Caenorhabditis elegans: one gene and its partners. The protein of the gene in region 2 purifies or fractionates together with the protein of the main gene of each other region. This does not show direct contact. Each region holds a gene or a part of one and is shown on either strand. Other genes may lie near its edges. The genes, in order: Y54F10AR.1, R12E2.11 and wago-4.

The links.
Region 1: the proteins of R12E2.11 (region 2) and Y54F10AR.1 fractionate together in Caenorhabditis elegans (co-fractionation; one large-scale study listed by BioGRID). This does not show direct contact.
Region 3: the proteins of R12E2.11 (region 2) and wago-4 fractionate together in Caenorhabditis elegans (co-fractionation; one large-scale study listed by BioGRID). This does not show direct contact.

What each region holds. Positions count from the first base shown.
Region 1 is NC_003281.10:2,573,483-2,579,068, forward strand, and holds the start of Y54F10AR.1 (Phosphatidylinositol transfer protein N-terminal domain-containing protein), read right to left. Parts: upstream 2,204-5,586; coding exon 2,187-2,203; intron 1,775-2,186; coding exon 1,580-1,774; intron 1,522-1,579; coding exon 1,204-1,521; intron 1,146-1,203; coding exon 1,025-1,145; intron 1-1,024.
Region 2 is NC_003279.8:4,171,334-4,176,634, forward strand, and holds R12E2.11 (Orotate phosphoribosyltransferase), read right to left. Parts: upstream 2,292-5,301; 5' UTR 2,291-2,291; coding exon 1,976-2,290; intron 1,925-1,975; coding exon 1,659-1,924; intron 1,618-1,658; coding exon 1,515-1,617; 3' UTR 1,105-1,514; downstream 1-1,104. Other genes in the region: Inactive protein-tyrosine phosphatase egg-5, read right to left, coding at 1-254; mrps-6 (Small ribosomal subunit protein bS6m), read right to left, coding at 2,638-2,856, 3,025-3,103, 3,153-3,298, 3,362-3,406; rpn-8 (26S proteasome non-ATPase regulatory subunit 7), read left to right, coding at 3,990-4,109, 4,163-4,307, 4,352-4,437, 4,498-4,554, 5,022-5,150, 5,200-5,301. UniProt on the Caenorhabditis elegans protein: Phosphoribosyltransferase which catalyzes the formation of UMP from uracil in vitro and thus may be involved in UMP biosynthesis via the salvage pathway.
Region 3 is NC_003280.10:12,916,724-12,922,309, reverse strand, and holds the start of wago-4 (Argonaute protein wago-4), read right to left. Parts: upstream 2,760-5,586; 5' UTR 2,734-2,759; coding exon 2,578-2,733; intron 2,526-2,577; coding exon 2,335-2,525; intron 2,290-2,334; coding exon 2,121-2,289; intron 2,077-2,120; coding exon 1,671-2,076; intron 1,625-1,670; coding exon 898-1,624; intron 853-897; coding exon 677-852; intron 631-676; coding exon 462-630; intron 413-461; coding exon 238-412; intron 195-237; coding exon 1-194. Other genes in the region: F58G1.2 (C2H2-type domain-containing protein), read left to right, coding at 3,330-3,366, 3,533-3,901, 4,489-4,925. UniProt on the Caenorhabditis elegans protein: Argonaute protein which is involved in the endogenous small interfering RNA (endo-siRNA) pathway and is required for RNA-mediated gene silencing (RNAi) in the germline.

The DNA of each region.
Region 1 (5,586 bases), on a different chromosome or scaffold from region 2:
CGAGATTTTTTGGCGAAAAAACCGTTTTTTTAAAGGAAAATAATGGAAAAATTATTTTTTTTTTTGGAAAAATCTGAAATAAATCTGATTTTTGAACATTTTCACGTGAATCTCAACAAAAATGTCCATTTTTCAGGTAGATTACTGGGTTAACAAAAAAAAACATTTTCGAAAATTTTACTTTATAGGATTTTATACAAAATTGCGCAGTTTTCCAGCTTTTTTTAAAATTAAAATTCAATTTTTTCGCACTTTTTGAAATTTTTATTAAATTAAGCAATGTTTTGGTTTATTTTTTTTATTTTTCATTTATAAAAATTTTCAGCGAAAAAGATGGAAAAAAATTTTTACGAAAATTGTGCATTTTTCAGCTCGATTTCTACATTTTTCGTATGCAATTTTTCGAAAACTTCTTTTTTTTTGCGGTTTTTTAAAGAAAATTTCTCCAATTTCAAGCTAATTTTTGAGATTTTTTAAATAAATTTATTAATTTATCGGGTAAAAATCCACTTTTTTGAAAATTTCCACGAGCATTTATGCGAAATTTTTCCATTTTTTCAGCTCGGTTTTCAGTTTTTTTCCGGAATTGTTCGAAATTTTGCTCGAAAATTGAAGAATGGCTGTGTAAAACCTCTTCCACTTAAATTAGAGGTTTTCTAGGTTTTCCTTTTGACTTTTTGGCAATTTTCGCGGTTTTTTCACATTCAAATTGGCAGTTTGTTAGGTTTTTAGGTGAAAACTTTATTTATCAGATTTTATTTATTTAATTTTATTTACATTTATCAGATTTTAAGTGAAAATTGTTGATTTTCACCTAAGAACCCTATAAATTGTCAATTTGAGTATGAAAAAACCACGAAAATCGAAAATTTCAGTTTTAAACTTTGAAATTCTTCTCCTCGGGGAGTACACGATCTGCGTAAATCGACATAGGGTTATTCTACAAATTTCAAACAAAAAAAAGCTCGTTTTTTGAGCATTTTCGCCCATTTTGTCGATCCACGAAATCCTCTCGTAATCTCACCGTATGCGCGTAGTTTTCGACAATTTTCTGGAATCCAAACCACTTGAAATAGACTGTAACAAGCTTGTAGGCACACATTACAGGCTGTACACTATCCTTCCAATTTCCAGATAAAGGACCGCTGAAATTTCAGATTTTTTTAATTTAAAAACTGAAAAATCTCAAGGTTTTTCCCGTACCGCCCGGTTTTTGTGCTCTGAAATTTGGATGGAGTGGAGTCTGGATGCAAATCTCCGGAATTCAAATACTCGTGATCATTTGCAATATTAATATTGACAACTTCTCGTTTCGCCAGCTCATCGCCCTTCAAACCGTGCGCATTTTCGGTCGTTCCGTTGTCCGGCAAGTGGATTGTCTCAATTTTCACATAGAAATTCTCTTTCATATAGTCTGGATTCGTGACAACCGTCTTACAGTACGGATAGGCATTCCATGCTTCTTCGTGGATAGCCAGAGAACCTTTTGGCGCGATTTTTCGCAAAATTGCCGGGACTTTCCTGAAAAAATTGATTTTTTTTCCAATTTTTTTCGCAGAATTAAAGAAGAAAATCCTACGATTGAAGATGATAAATCTTATGAGTATATTGTCCTTTCGTGAATTGTCCATTGAGCAGTGGAACATTGTCAAATGGCTCATTTTTGAGCACTTCCACACCTTCACCGCCACCCGTTTCGGCTTTTGAGGCCTCGGCCACAGACCAGAGCTGGCCTACTTGGTACTCTTCGACGGACATTGGAAGCACAACTCGGCTGAAAAAAAATTTTTTTTTTTGAAAATCTGGAAAAAATCCAATTTTTTTGGGAAAATCTGGAAAAATACGATTTTTTTTTTGAAAAAATCTGGAAAAAATCCGATTGTTTTGGGAAAAGAATGGAAAAAATCTGGAACAAATCCGATTTTAATGGAAAAATCTGGAACAAATCCGATTTTAATGGAAAAATCTGGAACAAATCCGATTTTAATGGAAAAATCTGGAAAAATACGATTTTTTTGAAAAAATCTGGAAAAAATCCGATTCTTCCGGGAAAAATCTTGAAAAAATCCGATTTTTTTGGGAAAAGAATGGAGAAATCCGATTTTTTTTTGTTGGAAAATCTGGAAAAAAACCGATTTTTTCCAGGAAAAATCAAAATTTTCGTTAAAAATAAAAAAATCACTTACTACTCCTTGATAATCATTCTTGCGAGTGTCGAATGAGGAGGAAACCACCTGAAAACTAAATTTTTTATGCTAGTTGCCATGGAAACAGCTTTACGGAAGATTAATGGGTGGAGAGCATGCGAAAATCGATTTTATTTTTGCATTTTGGAAGGTATTCGAGAAAAAGAAGAAAATTATTGCGAAATTTCGTAATTTGAAGGAAATTCACAAAGATTTTAACGATTTTTAGCGGGAAATTGAAAATTTTTGGATTTAAAAATAAAAAATTGATCGAAAAGTTAAAGGCGCACGGAGTTCCAATTGCCGATGGGTCTCGCAGCGAACTACAAAAGTTTGATAAATTTTTGAATTTTTTAAAGTTTTTTAGTAAAATTAAGTTGATTTTACCAATATTTAATATATTTTCTAACGTTTTTAAATAGAAAATGACAATATTAAATCGGAATTGGAAATTTTAACGGCGTCTCTCATGAAAAATACAAAATTCTCCCAAACAATGCGAAATCGTAGAATTATTAGTCATCATGAATAGAGAGAGAGAGAGAGGTGTTGCGAAATTTTTCTCATTTTGAAATTTCTTGAGGGAAAAATGGAAAAATCACTCAATTTTCCGTGGGAAAAGCGAAAAAAACGAATTTGAGAAGGGCAGTAATCGAAGGCGCATATAGTTTGAAGAGACTCGGGTCTCGCAGCGATCTACAGAAATTGTAATTAATTTTCAAGTTTTTAAACTTTTAAACAAATTTAAGCTATTTCTAGGTGGTTTTAAATGAAATTCTAACGATTTAATATTGAAAACTTGATTTCGAAGTGAAAATTAAGATTATTTTTAATTTCCGATTGGAATTCCGAGAGAAAAGCGAGCATAATACACGAAAAATCTTGAAATGGTTTTTAAAGGTGCATGGTCTTTGAATTGGCTCGGGTCTCGCGACGATCTACAAAAGTGTGATGAATATTTAATTTTATTGAATTTAAAATGAGTTTTCAGAAGGTTTTAACGATTTTCCGACCAATTTTCAGTGCAAAAACTGCAAAAAATGACGTGTTAAGGTCCATACACCCGCAAAAAACATAAAAACAAAGCGGAAAAAAGAAAAAAAAAAGACAGACGAAATAGATGAAGCAATAAGCGCAGCAACGAGGAGAAAATCGAATGCTTTCTGTGTTTCTGTCTCACTTGCCGACTCACTAGGCACGCGAAATGCGCAAGCATTCCTCTCGGTGACTTCGTATACTCTCTTCTCGATTAACAGCAGGGTTCGAGCCTTTCTTGGAAGAAAAAGAGGAAGAAATATTCGTTTTTTTTTCCTTTCTTTTAACGTTTTTGGAAGAAGGAAGACGGAAAAAAGATGGAAAATAGTATTAAAAATGGCCTTCCCCAAAAAAAAGAGGGCGGCGCGGCGAAAAATCGATAACACCCGGGACGGGGGGAAAACGGAGGAGAAAAAAGAGCTGGAGCAGAAACTAAATATGTCATGTTTGTGGAGTAGCGTGTGCGCTGTCAAGTTGAGAGAGAGAGGCTATATAAAGTAAAAAGTAACGACTATGGAGAGGAGCGAAATGGGTTGGAAAAACAAGTGACGGATGACATTTTCAATGGAAAATCTGAAAAAGTGTGAAGCTGGCGCGAGAATCACCATGGAAATGAGCGACAAGTTTGGGGCAGATACACATAAATCAAATTTCGACTTGCGGAAACAATATGAAATCGATTTTTTTGACTTTCCCCTATTAAATAATTAAAATTCAAAAAAAAATCGAAAAAAGCTGGGTTCAAGTGGTGCCAGGCTGTCCCATTACGGTTTGATCTACAAAAAATGCGGGAATTTTTTGCCAAAAAAAATGTGACGTCATCACGTTGTTAACCATGCGAAATCAGTTGAGAACTCTGCGTCTCTTCTCCCGCATTTTTTGTAGATCTATGTAGATCATGCCGAAAGAAGGCACTTTGACACCACGTGAATCGGTAAAGAAATGGAAAAAAAAAATCAAAATGCAGGAATTGAGACGCAGAGTTCTCAACTGATTTCGTATGGTTAGGAACGTGCTGACGTCACATATTTTTGGGCAAAAAAATCCCGCATTTTTTGTAGATCAAACCGTGATGGGACATGCTGATACTACGTGGTTATGCGCCTTTACACAGAGTACGGTACCTTTGGCCATTAAAAAGCGCCAAGAAAATTAGACTATCTGCTGAAAATCGATTTATTAACTTCCAAAAACAATAAAATCTAGAAATTGGAAGATTTTCTCTGTAACTGTAAAAATCTCGATTTTCGTCTGAAAAGTTAAAAATTGGCGATAAATTGGCTATTTAGGCTTAGGCTTAGGTTTAGTCATAGGCCTAGGCTTAAGCATAGGCTTAGGCATAGGCCTAGGCATAGACTTAGGCTCAGGCTTGGGCTATTGCTTCGGCCTAGGCCTAGGCTTAGGATTAGGCTTAGGCTAAGACTTAGGCAGATGCTGAGGCATAGGCTTAGACCTAGGCTTAGGCTTAGACTTGGGATTAGGCGTATGCTTAGGCTCAGGCTTAGGCATATGCTTAGGCTTAGCCATAGGCCTTGTGGCTTTCTGCAGGAAACTTTGCCCGATGCACCATGTTGAAAATGCCATTTTTTGTTGGATTCCCGGTGAATTCTACCCTTTTTGCGAAAAAAAAAAAAATTTCATTCAAAAATGTTCATATTGGAGGCCCGATTTCTGTAGTTTCCGCATTTTTTGGTGTCATTTTGTCTGAAACACAGACTTTGTAAATATTGGTAACCTCAAATGTACTTAAATCAATAAGACAGTGACTTTAAAAAAGTTAGTTTCCTATAGCTGCTACATTGACAAGTCTGTCAAATTTCAAATTTTAACTAATTTTAGGTAATTTTTTGAGTCGTCAAATTTTTTTGAAAAGTTTTCAACAAGTTTCATTATGAAATTCGGTGTTTTCAGACAACTTCGAGTCTAATTTTTCTTAAACCATGTTTCAAAGATCACATGTTTTATTTGTTTCTTTTGCATTTTCTTTCGCCTGCGTTTACCATTGCAACATTATCTTTGAGACAACAACACATGCATTATTTTTCATTTTTCGTCTAGCGTCTCTTCACATTGGTGCCACTCTTTCCAACCGTCTAACTGTCTACGATCTCCTGTTCTCTTGCTCTATACATGCTTTCACTAAAGCATCGGAATTGAGAGAAAAACGAAATGTATTCGATTGAAAAAAATTTTTTTTGAATATTTTTATTTCTACAGTTTTAGTGGTAATGTTGGCCCTTTTTGTCCGATGACTTAAAATCGAAAAAAACTAGAAGTTTTCTGAATAACTATGAGAAATTCGATTTTTAGAGACGCGAAAAAACAATTTTTTTATCTTTTAAAAAAATTACAAATTAATACATTT
Region 2 (5,301 bases):
TGAGCGAGCTTCTTCACTTTCTTCCGGAAACTCTTGCTAAGCGTGCTCTCGCTGTTGAATCTGGCTCTCATGCAGCTCACTCCCTTTTGTTGAGGATAATCCACCATCATATCCATGTTATCGGTGCTATCCGCGGAGGAGTCGTCGGTGTTTCCGGAGCAGAAGCTTTGAAGCGACGTCGCTCGCTTCCGGCCAGCTTGTGAGCGCATCGCATTGATTTGCTCGCGGAACATCACTTCGCTGTTCAACGCCATACCTGGAAAATAAATAAGCTTATTAAACGGCAGAAGAGACAGGAAAAACGATTTTGGGAGAGCACAAAATGGAAATTAGACGAATACGCGGATTTTTAATAGAAAATAACTGCGAAAAATACTGTTTAAACAACTGAACGGAAAAAGTCGAAGTTTTAGGAGAACAAAGAAAGAAAAAATTTCGGAAGTTTCCAGAAAACAAGTGCAATCATTTCGCTGAGCGGACAAAATACAAAATTTCGCGCTCTCCCAAGAATGTAGAACAAATTGTAGAACAAAGGTACGGTAGCAGATAATGTGTGTATTTGCGTACTTTTTTTTTGCATACCGTACTTTTCTTTACTTAATCGCACATTATAACGGAAAACGCATGTTTAATTAAAAATAGATTTTTTAAAAATTGTTTATAAATATTCAATATACGGAAAATCTGATTATGCACTTCGTGGGGATCGAACCAGTGTCCTGCTGTGCCTCCCTTATTCCCCACTGCACCATCAACCACTGCTGTTTCGCAGTCTCCGTCTCCTCGACAACACACACTCGTCGCTTCTCGCTTGCCTCGAAATGTGTCGGTACACACGTTTGGGTAAGAGGAGAGGACTCGTTGGTATCTTCGGTTTTAACCCAGTTACTCAAGGTACGCTGGAGTTCTGACCTTTCGAAAGAAAGTGTCAAACGACTTTAATTTTTGGAACCGCTCTGCTGGGGTCATCCGGTAGAGCAAAATAATTGAATCCGATTTTAAAAGTTTATTAAGTTTTATGTGCATTAATGACTGACTTGCAATTCTTAGCGAGAACTGTTGAGCTATGATAGATGGTGCGAGTTTTATCCTTTGTGAACACTATTTGGAAAAGGTTTTATTCACTTGAAATCGTTTCAGGGAAAGAACATGAGAAGATTTGATTATGCTTTAGCTAAATTCCAAAAAAAAAAATTATTAAGACATGCGGAAGAAGAATTAAACCAGGATATATCACAACTTGGGAAGGAATCAACAAGCCAAAAAATAATGAAAATTATTCAGCAAACATGGTAGAAAGTGATGAGAAGAAAATATAAACACACAAAACATCACATAAAACGCTAAACAAAAATTTAATGAAACCTTTTTTCCATTTTTTAAATTGGTCCATCAATTTTCTTGTTTTATGTGATGCGATGCATGTGTGCTAACAAGGAAGTTTATTGGAATATTATGAAAATGAGAAAACAAGTTCACAAATTGGTAGAATATGGGGTGCAACAATGAAATTTTTAGAAAGGTTTAGCAAGATGAGCAATAATCTCGTGCTTTCGTTCCTCGGTCATCTCGTTTTTCGTGATCAGGCCGTCGAGGATCTTCTCCATTGTCAAAAAGCTGAAAAAATTTGATTTTTAATTAAAACGAAAAAGCCTCACCTGAGGAAGTTAAGATTATCTTCTGCGAGATTGGCAGTTGCTCCCTGTTGTCTATCCAAAACAGCTATGGCATCAGTGACCAACAGATTCTCATTGCGAATTGCTTCTGCTGTCTCACGAATTGATTCACCTGATGTGACGACATCTTCGACAAGAAGTACTGTACCACCAGGCTGATAGACTCCTTCGATAAGTTGCTTTGTTCCGTAGGCTTTGGCTTCTTTTCTTTTCATAAGCATCGGCACATTGAGAATATCAGATACAAGCTAAAAACATTGAGTCTCATTTTTTAGTGTGAATTATTTCTGAAAACTGACGGTAGCAAGTGGAAGGGCAGCATATGGTACTCCAACAACATAATCGAATTTGAGGTTTGAGGCGACAATTTTCTCACACATAGCTTGAGCAGCCATTCGGAGCACACGAGGAGAGCTCATTATTCTGCGAAGATCTATGTAGATTGGAGTCATCTGGCCAGATTTGAGGTAGAACTCCCCAGTGCGAAAACATTCCATTTGATAGAGATTCTCGAAAAAATCAGTTTCCTGGATTGGTGAAGCGGCCTGGACTTTCATGACGACTGGATCCTCGATTGAGTGATTTCCGTTGGCGGTAGCGGTGGCGGCGGTCATTCTGAATTTTTAACAATTTTCGAATATCAATGTGAAACAGGTTATTTTCTTTCAATAGAAAAGTGAACAAATATCACTTGGTCAGATGAACCAGGTACGTGATTTGAAGGAAGAAAAATAAATAAATAAAAATGTGATATTCATGAAACAAAACAAATCAATTCAACTTTAAGAAAACAAAAATCACTCTATAAATCCTAAAACTGTACAGAAGAATCGAGAAAACAGACAACGCAAAGTACGAAAAGATAGCCTCGTTTGATAACACTATCATAAGGAGGTGTGGCCAAAAGTGCATTGTCGGCGATCTTCGACCCGTAAATTTAAGTCGATTACGAATTTCATGTCTAGGGCCTTGGCGGAGCAATTGGGTAACTCTTCGGGATACTCTTCCACTCCTTTTCAGTACGTTTGTAGATCATCTGTCGCGTGAAATGACCCATCTTTTGATTTTCTCTCAAATCCTTGACTGCTTGACGTTCGGCAGGAGATTTGAGGATTTCTTCCAGATTGCATTCAACCTTTGGAGCCGGCAGTGTGTCCACTTGAATTAGATCGACTTGAACCTGAAAAAATATGGTTCAGATTTTTGTAATGACCAAAAAGTGACAAATTAATTTAGAAAAAGAACAAAACAACATTCGAAATGAATCTAAACAAAGAAAACTTTTAAACAATAAGACCCGATCATACATCAACATCAGATAATATATAATGAAATTTAACTAACTCACCGTGTCCAGGTCATGTGTCAAAATAGACTTTGTTTTCTGTCTAGCTTCCCGAGACATGTGCGCCTTGAAGAGGAAGAAACTGCAAAGAACAAACAATTTTTTTAAGATATATAGTTTTTAAATATTACTTTGAAGCGTAGACGGGCTCATTTGTCTGTTTGGCCAGCCGTTTATACGGTAAATCTCGATGACCCAGTGACTCAACCTTTTCAATTACTGCTCCGTGATCCAGCAAAGTGTTTCCAGCACGCGTTAAAGCTTTAACAAGATCTGCCTGAAATAAAGAATATTCTCATGATTATACACATTCTCACGCTTCATCGTGTTTTTTCTGTACCTTTGACAGAGATCGTGTGATCATGCTCACTTCATAAAACGGCATTGTTGTTCTCGCCCAGTATGAATGCTTTTTCTTCACTGAAAATATTTTCTATGCTACGAATTTGGAAATATGTCAATGAAAATCACGATAAGAAATCACAGCACAAGCTATTTTTCCAAAATAGGAAGTTGCCATTTTTCAACGACAGGCTGTGAACACAAGATTATTAAACAAAAATTTACTAGAACAATAAAATAAATGTTCAATTTTCAATTTTTCGCATTAGAAAGTTAATTTTCCGTCATTGCAATCGAAAAAAGTTAATTTTAAAGTAAAGAACCAGGAAAAATAAAGTGGAAATACGGGATGGGTCTCACCACGGCCAGTGTCGATTTACGGGGAAATTGCATGCGCCTTTAAACGATGATATTTCTTTTTTGAACGGGAAGCGGGAAATTGTCGTTTTTAAGCATTATTTATTTATTTCTTTTCATTTTTTCATTCAAATTATATTCTAGATACGTTTATGGCAGGTTTTTCCGCAATGATTAAGCGTTTCTCACTGTTATGTCGATTATTAACGTGTTAAACTGTTATGTGTTGATTTTTTATTGTGATAAATTTATTTTCGTTTTTTAGAAGAATGGCTCCAACTAACAAAGACGGAGATGTGGCGACTGTCAAAGCTGTAGATGTTCTCAAACAAAAGGCTGGAGCCCATCATTGCCTTGGAAATGTTCATGCAAACCTTCCCGTTAATAAGGTTAGCATACCTGAGCGAGAAAATTCGATTTTAAATAAACACAATTATTTAAGGTGACCGTCCATCCATTGGTTCTTCTGAGTGTTGTTGATCATTTCAATCGTGTCAGCAAAACTCAAAGCGTGAAGCGTGTTGTTGGAGTCCTTTTGGGGTCCATGAAAAAGGACAAAACTCTGGATATTGGAAACAGTTTTGCTGGTATTTTTAAAAATTTATTTGCTTACTTATAAAGTAATTTTCAGTTCCGTTTGATGAAGATGACAAGGATAAAAGTACATGGTTCCTCGACATGGACTATTTGGAGAGCATGTATGGAATGTTCTACAAGGTTGGTGAATTTTGAAATCTCGTTTTTATTTAATTTTAAACAAAAAAAATGAATTTACAGGTTGCCGCCAAGGAAAAAATCGTCGGATGGTATCATACGGGTCCAAAACTTCACAAGGTATATAAGAGGCAAAAAAGAGACGGGGACAACGCGCGTAGTGGTCTAGTGGCTAGCAGGCACACACTCTGCGCCTCCAGCCATTGGTTCGATTTCTCATTCCACTCGGGTTTGTGATGACTGCATACGGATCACTGGGCTCTGAATCTCTATGAACCGATAATATCCGTTCTGATACCCGTTTTTACGGTTTCATGATCGATGGAGCGCGAACTTGTTTAAATTTGAAATTATACTGTGCAAATAACAACAAAGCAAAAAAAAAAAAACTTAAAACAAATCAAATCAAAACTTTTGAAAAAAATCGAAAAAAATGCAGTGGATACCTGACAAAAAAAAAAGAAAAAACCGTGTCACAGTGTTGCGAAATTACGCTCCGCCTTACTTTCTGTGCCACCCTGATTTTTGCAAAATTACGGTGTTCAACTTCAACAGTTTAATTAATTATTTATTTATTAATTTTACAGAACGATATTGCTATCAACGAGCAATTGAAACGATTCTGCCCGAACCCGGTTCTTGTAATTATCGATGCTGAGCCAAAGAACATCGGATTGCCAACAGAGGCTTACATCGAAGTTCAGGAAGTTCACGATGTACGTTTCAAAATACTGTTTAATTTTTTTTCAATATATTGTTTTGTAGGATGGAACTCCACCAATCAAAACCTTCGAGCATGTGCCTTCAGATATCGGAGCCGAAGAAGCTGAGGAAGTTGGAGTCGAGCATCTTTTGAGAGATATCAAG
Region 3 (5,586 bases), on a different chromosome or scaffold from region 2:
ACAAGTTGAATATCAGGTGAGAAATCTCTCATAGCAGCACGAGCAAGAGGAATCTCGTAGGCCATGATTGATCCATGATTTCCCTCGCTTGTTCCTGTTCGGTAGACAATGACGCGTCTCGGAAGACCGCCATCATGAAACTTCTGGTATTCGTTGAGCGAGTGCATCACAATATCCTCAATCGGCGCAAGAGTCTGAAATCAAATCGGATGAGAATATTCTTAAATGGAAACTCACATCTTGGCTGGCAGAGTTTAACACGAAGTCTCCACTGAACTCCTGATTGTGCTGTGCATTGTACGCATAGCCGATGACATTGGGGTTTAGAACTCCTTTGTTCTCCATGGCATACTTGGTTCCAGCAGGTGGGGCGGAAATCCCAACTCCGATGATCAGATGAGAGTCGAGCTGCCTGAAGGAATAATAAATGAATATAAATTTCGCAAAAAAAAATCTGGTACTTCTTGGCGTCCACGAAAACATAGTTGGAACCTCCCAACTTCACATTGGTCTTGTTGATCACGTTCTCGAGAGTTAGCCTCTTTCCTGCATTGATAACACTCAACGCCTTGGATAGCTTCATGTCTTGAACGATCATCTTCGTATCCTTCTCAATCATTTTGTAACGCTCTGAAAGACGGAAATATGGACAAATATAATAAACAATGTAACATACGATGGAGTGTAGTGATTGAATCATCCGTTATGATGAAAACGAATGTGCAATTGGCTTTCGTTGCGTCGTACAGACGACTCTCGATGGCATCCATATGGATGAGCGAAATGTCAGCAGGAGCAGGCATGTTGACACCTTTTGACTTGCACATAGCCGCGAACTCATCTGCGAATTTCCTGAAACGAAAAAAATGAGATATGAAACTATATTGCCAGTCTTACTTCAGAGTATCCAAAGTTATGCGAGTTGATGCGGTACCGACAACATACATCGCCCACACATTCGGCGCCGTGGCTGGTCGAGTGAAGCGGTTGGCACGCCACTTGTTGTCCTTGACATTGATTGGATTGGCTCCAATTTCAGCGTTTGCCAACTTCACCGCAGGAATTGAGCGTCCTTTGACCATGAGCGGATCTTCGCACACCGAGACGCCCATTTTACCGAGAACCTCGTTGTCCGATGAGATTTGCGCCGCATTTTTTCCCGTCAAGATCAGACGCTGGCGAACGTCAGGTAAAACAGCACTTTCCTTCGTTGTCTTCTGACTCTGGGCACTGGTTAGCTGCGGGATCTGAACGCGTTGATGAGAGCTGATCTTCAACAATTCCATCGGGTAGAAGTTTATATTTCCTCTCTCCTTGGAAACGATGAGATTTGTGTCTGGATAGCGAAGAGTGATGTTGTATACGTCTTCGAAATATTGAGCTACAGTGCAGCTTCCACCGTCGTTGAGCTCGAAACGAGCATTTCGAGCCCCTTCGTGATGGATTCCCTCGATCTTGTGATGACGTTCACGACCGCCATATGTAGAATAGCAGTCGAGCCCTTTGATGACGGCTGCGCAGCGGTCCTTTTCGAGTCCCTTCAGGCCGTGTTCCACAGGCTGCGTAGTTATCTCCTTCAGTTTGTCGAGAATTGGCTGATTCTTATGGAAAGCGACCTTCATCCCTGAAAAACAAGAAATAACTATGATATTACTATTTTGAATACCAACCGTCAATGACAACTGATGGATTACTCCGTCCTCTGCCGTAGGGTCCTTCGATGAAGTTGATCGTCTTCTTGAGTCCTGGTACAACTTGCTTCCCATCCCCAACGTCCACAACGTCGCATTTCTCGAATCCTTCACCGAGTGGATCAATGAAAAACATTTTTCCATGATCGAAAACAACGTATCTCGCAGTGTTGCGAAGACATGGTTGAGTGAGAGCGAGTTCCAGGATCTGTTGGTAAGCCAAGCTGACAGAATCGAGGTTTGAGTCCGTTGCTCGTCTTGCTACGGCTTCTCGTGTGAACTTGACCGCTGGGTTTTTAGTCGGGAACACCTCCAGCTTAATACACGGCAACGATTTGAGATCCTTATGATCCATTTCTCCGCCATCAAGCTGCATGTACTTGGTCTGAAATATTCGGAATAACATTGGCCGAGATTTAATTTATTTACCTTTACTGCGCCTTCTCTGAACCCTTGGAAAAGATCCACGTTTGAGAACAGAATGCTTTGACCATCGTAGATGAGGCAGCTATCAGACGTTTTGAAGAACTCCTCATAGTCACCCAGCGCGCGGAACAGAATCGCACAGCACTTGTCGTGTCTCTCAGTAACGACGAAGCTGGAACATATTATGAGAAAAATATAAATCATGTGGTAAACTCACTCATCCTTCCCCTTCTTAGTGAAGGTAACTTCTTTCCCGTTTTTCAGCTCCGTCGTGATGTTCACGCTGTACTGATAGAACAACGAATCCTGGTGCATCTCGATTCCGAATACGTTGGTCTGTATTTCGGCCTCGACGCCACACTTTCCTGGTTCAGTAGGTGTTGGATAGAGCTTTGCAGCAGGAGCAATCTGAAATTTAACAAATTAGGTTTGAAAAAAAAATCAATTAAACTAAACGTACATTAAGCTCTTCCAGTCTCTTGATGCAAGCGTCGTTAGACGTTTGATACTCCGATCTTAACGGTTGAGTCGGAACTGGAACTGGTGGAACGGCAGGTGGTGCGTGGACGCTCGATGGAGCTCCAGAAGGCGTGTAGACTGGAGGAAGAGCTGGCATCCTTCTCGATTTTGTAACTATTACCTGTAAATTTAAAATTCAAGACGAAATAAGACTTAACGTATAGAAAAATGCGAAAAAAGCAACAAAAATACAACACAAAAACACAAAACGAGCATCAAAAACAAACATTTCCGCGAAAAAACGCGAAAAGAAAAAACGAAATTGAAAATCGCGGTCATCCTAAAATTCTGGGTTACTGTAGGTGACTTTCGCTGCGAGACCCGAGCACAACGACACTCCGCCTTAACGCAATGCGCCTTGTTTACCGTAAATCCACCCGAACAATTTATTTTTTCGAAGAGAACCTTTATTGAATTTTGCTTTTCTTTTTATAATTAAAACTCTAGAATTAAACAAAAATAGCTATTTTTAAGAGAAAAATTAAAAAAGTGCACTTGCGCTCTATTTTGCACTTCAAATACCCTCTTCATCAGGAGTCACATGAGATTGTTGCATTATTTCGAAATGTTCATATTTCTTCGTTTCGCCTCTATTTTTCCAGACCCGTGTTCAATTTCGTTATTTGAAATCTTAAAATTTCCTTCAATAATGCAATTAATTACAGGAACAATCAGGACAAGCAACGAGAAACAATGAAGGCGCCGGAGATTGTCGATCGTGAAGATTCACGTAATCATTATATTTTTTTCTATTGTTAACCTAATAAAAAAACAAAAATAACGAAATTTTGTTAACTTGATTTCTATATTTGGTTCCAAGAAACCTAGTTATTATCACTATTTGATATTTATTTCTCTTGTATTATTCTCTTCTAATGATTTCTTGATAGATGCAGTCTCGGAAGATGATCATGCGGAACATAGGGATTGCCAAGACGAAAAGGAACAGCAGATTATTGCATCATTCAACGCTCAGGATGCTCAACAGATTCGTCGTATTCAAGAGCACTTCCTTCAAGAATGCATGAAAAAGGAAACAGTAGCTGAAGCCAACGATTCTGGAAGAAATGACGTGTGTTGCCCACGAAAAAAGCTCACCGGAGTCGGCGAGCTTCTTGCGAGCCTCAGAAATCCGCCGAAAATTCATAAAGAACGAATCATTCTCGGCGGGGATGGAAGACCAATCAAAAAGCTTCGCGAAAACCGAGCTGCACTGAATTTCATCGATCCATCTGCCGAACTTGACAAGTGTATAGTTCGACAAAGTAAGGATTTCAGAAATTTGTCATTTAAAGGTGGAGTAGACTCGAAATTGTCTGAAAACACCGATTTATATAATGAAACTTGAAAACTTCCCAAAAACAAGTTATGACGGCTCAAAAAATGGCCTAAAAGTAGTTAAAACTTAAAATTTTACTTGTCAGCGCTGTCAGCTGGAAACAATTTTTGTTTTTGAAATCACCGTCAAATTTTGGGTATAAAATGTAATTATCTTGCGTTTTCAACACGATTTCGGTATTTTAAAGTCGATGGACCGCGAGATTTGGTTTAAAAAAATTTAAAAATCTCGCCGTTCATCGACTTTAAAATACCTAAATCAGAGTTAAAAACGAAAGATAATTACATAAAATACTCAAAATTTGACGGTGATTTCAAAAATATTAGTTTCCAGCTGGCAGCGCTGACAAGTCAAATTTCAAATTTTAACTAATTTTAGGCCAGTTTTTGAGCCGTCATAACTTTTTTTTGAGAAGTTTTCAAGAAGTTTCATCATGAAATTCGGTATTTTTAGGCAATTTTGAGTCCAATTTTGAACCAATATTTGGAAAAAAAGAAAATTTATAATTTTCAGAGCAGCAAGACTTTTGTGCTCCGGATCTCAACATGGTTCCTGCGTCCTCACTGAGCATCGATGAAATTCGAAATGCCGTCCGTAAAAGCATGTTCCGATGCAAAGTCTGCAAAAATCGTTTCGGTGAGATGAGCCTTCTCGAGCGACATCTCAGAGATTCCCACCCGAAAGCCTACATTGCATTTTTGGAAAATCAACGTGAAATGGCTGATTATATGGGTGAACTGGAGAGAGAGCGTAACCGAATCGAAGAGCTTGTGAGTGGCGGATTCATTCCTCCAGAGTCGGAAATTGAGGCGACATCGAACAATCTGGAAGTGGACTCGATCCCGTTGCCGGGTGAGAACAGTCAAGGACACATCCCACGACTGAATCGTTACGGAGGTCTCATGTACCCAATGGATGCGCTTAGAAAGAAATTTCCATATCTTAAGAAGGTAATAAACACGATGTCCTGGAGTGTTCATAATTACTGGAACGACACCTCACAAACTCCTGAATTCGTGGGAGCTCGATTAGCTGGGACAGCAGTTTTTGGCTATTGTTGGCCTATATAGAAACTCTTTCCGAATTTTTTTGATTCATAATTTTGTTGAGAGGAATCATACGAGTTGAAAATGTGTAAAATTATGAAATTTGGCCCAAAACTGAAGATTTTACAGAAAGGAGTCACTACAGTTTTTTAAAAAATGTATTAGAATCGTCAGTTTTTCGATTTCAGGTTCGAAAAATATGCCATTTTGTAGAGAAAAATCTGTTTGAAATTCTAATTCTTTAAAGGTGGAGTAGCGTCAGTGGGGAAATTGCTGTAAAACATGCCTATGGTACCACAATGACCGAATATCATGATAAAAAATTATTCTAAATTTTATATGATTTTTTGAAAATCGAAAAAATCTCAGTTTTTGCCTAATTCCTATTTAAATTACCGCCAATTGGATTTGTTCGATGGAGCGCGCTTGCACGTTTTTTAATTAATTTATTTTATTTTTTGTTATTTTCCACCGATTTTTAATGTTCTCGGTGTAATTTTGCTTGAATTTTAGAGAAAAAGTCAAAATAAAAGCTAATTTTCGATTGAAAAGCACGCTTACAGGC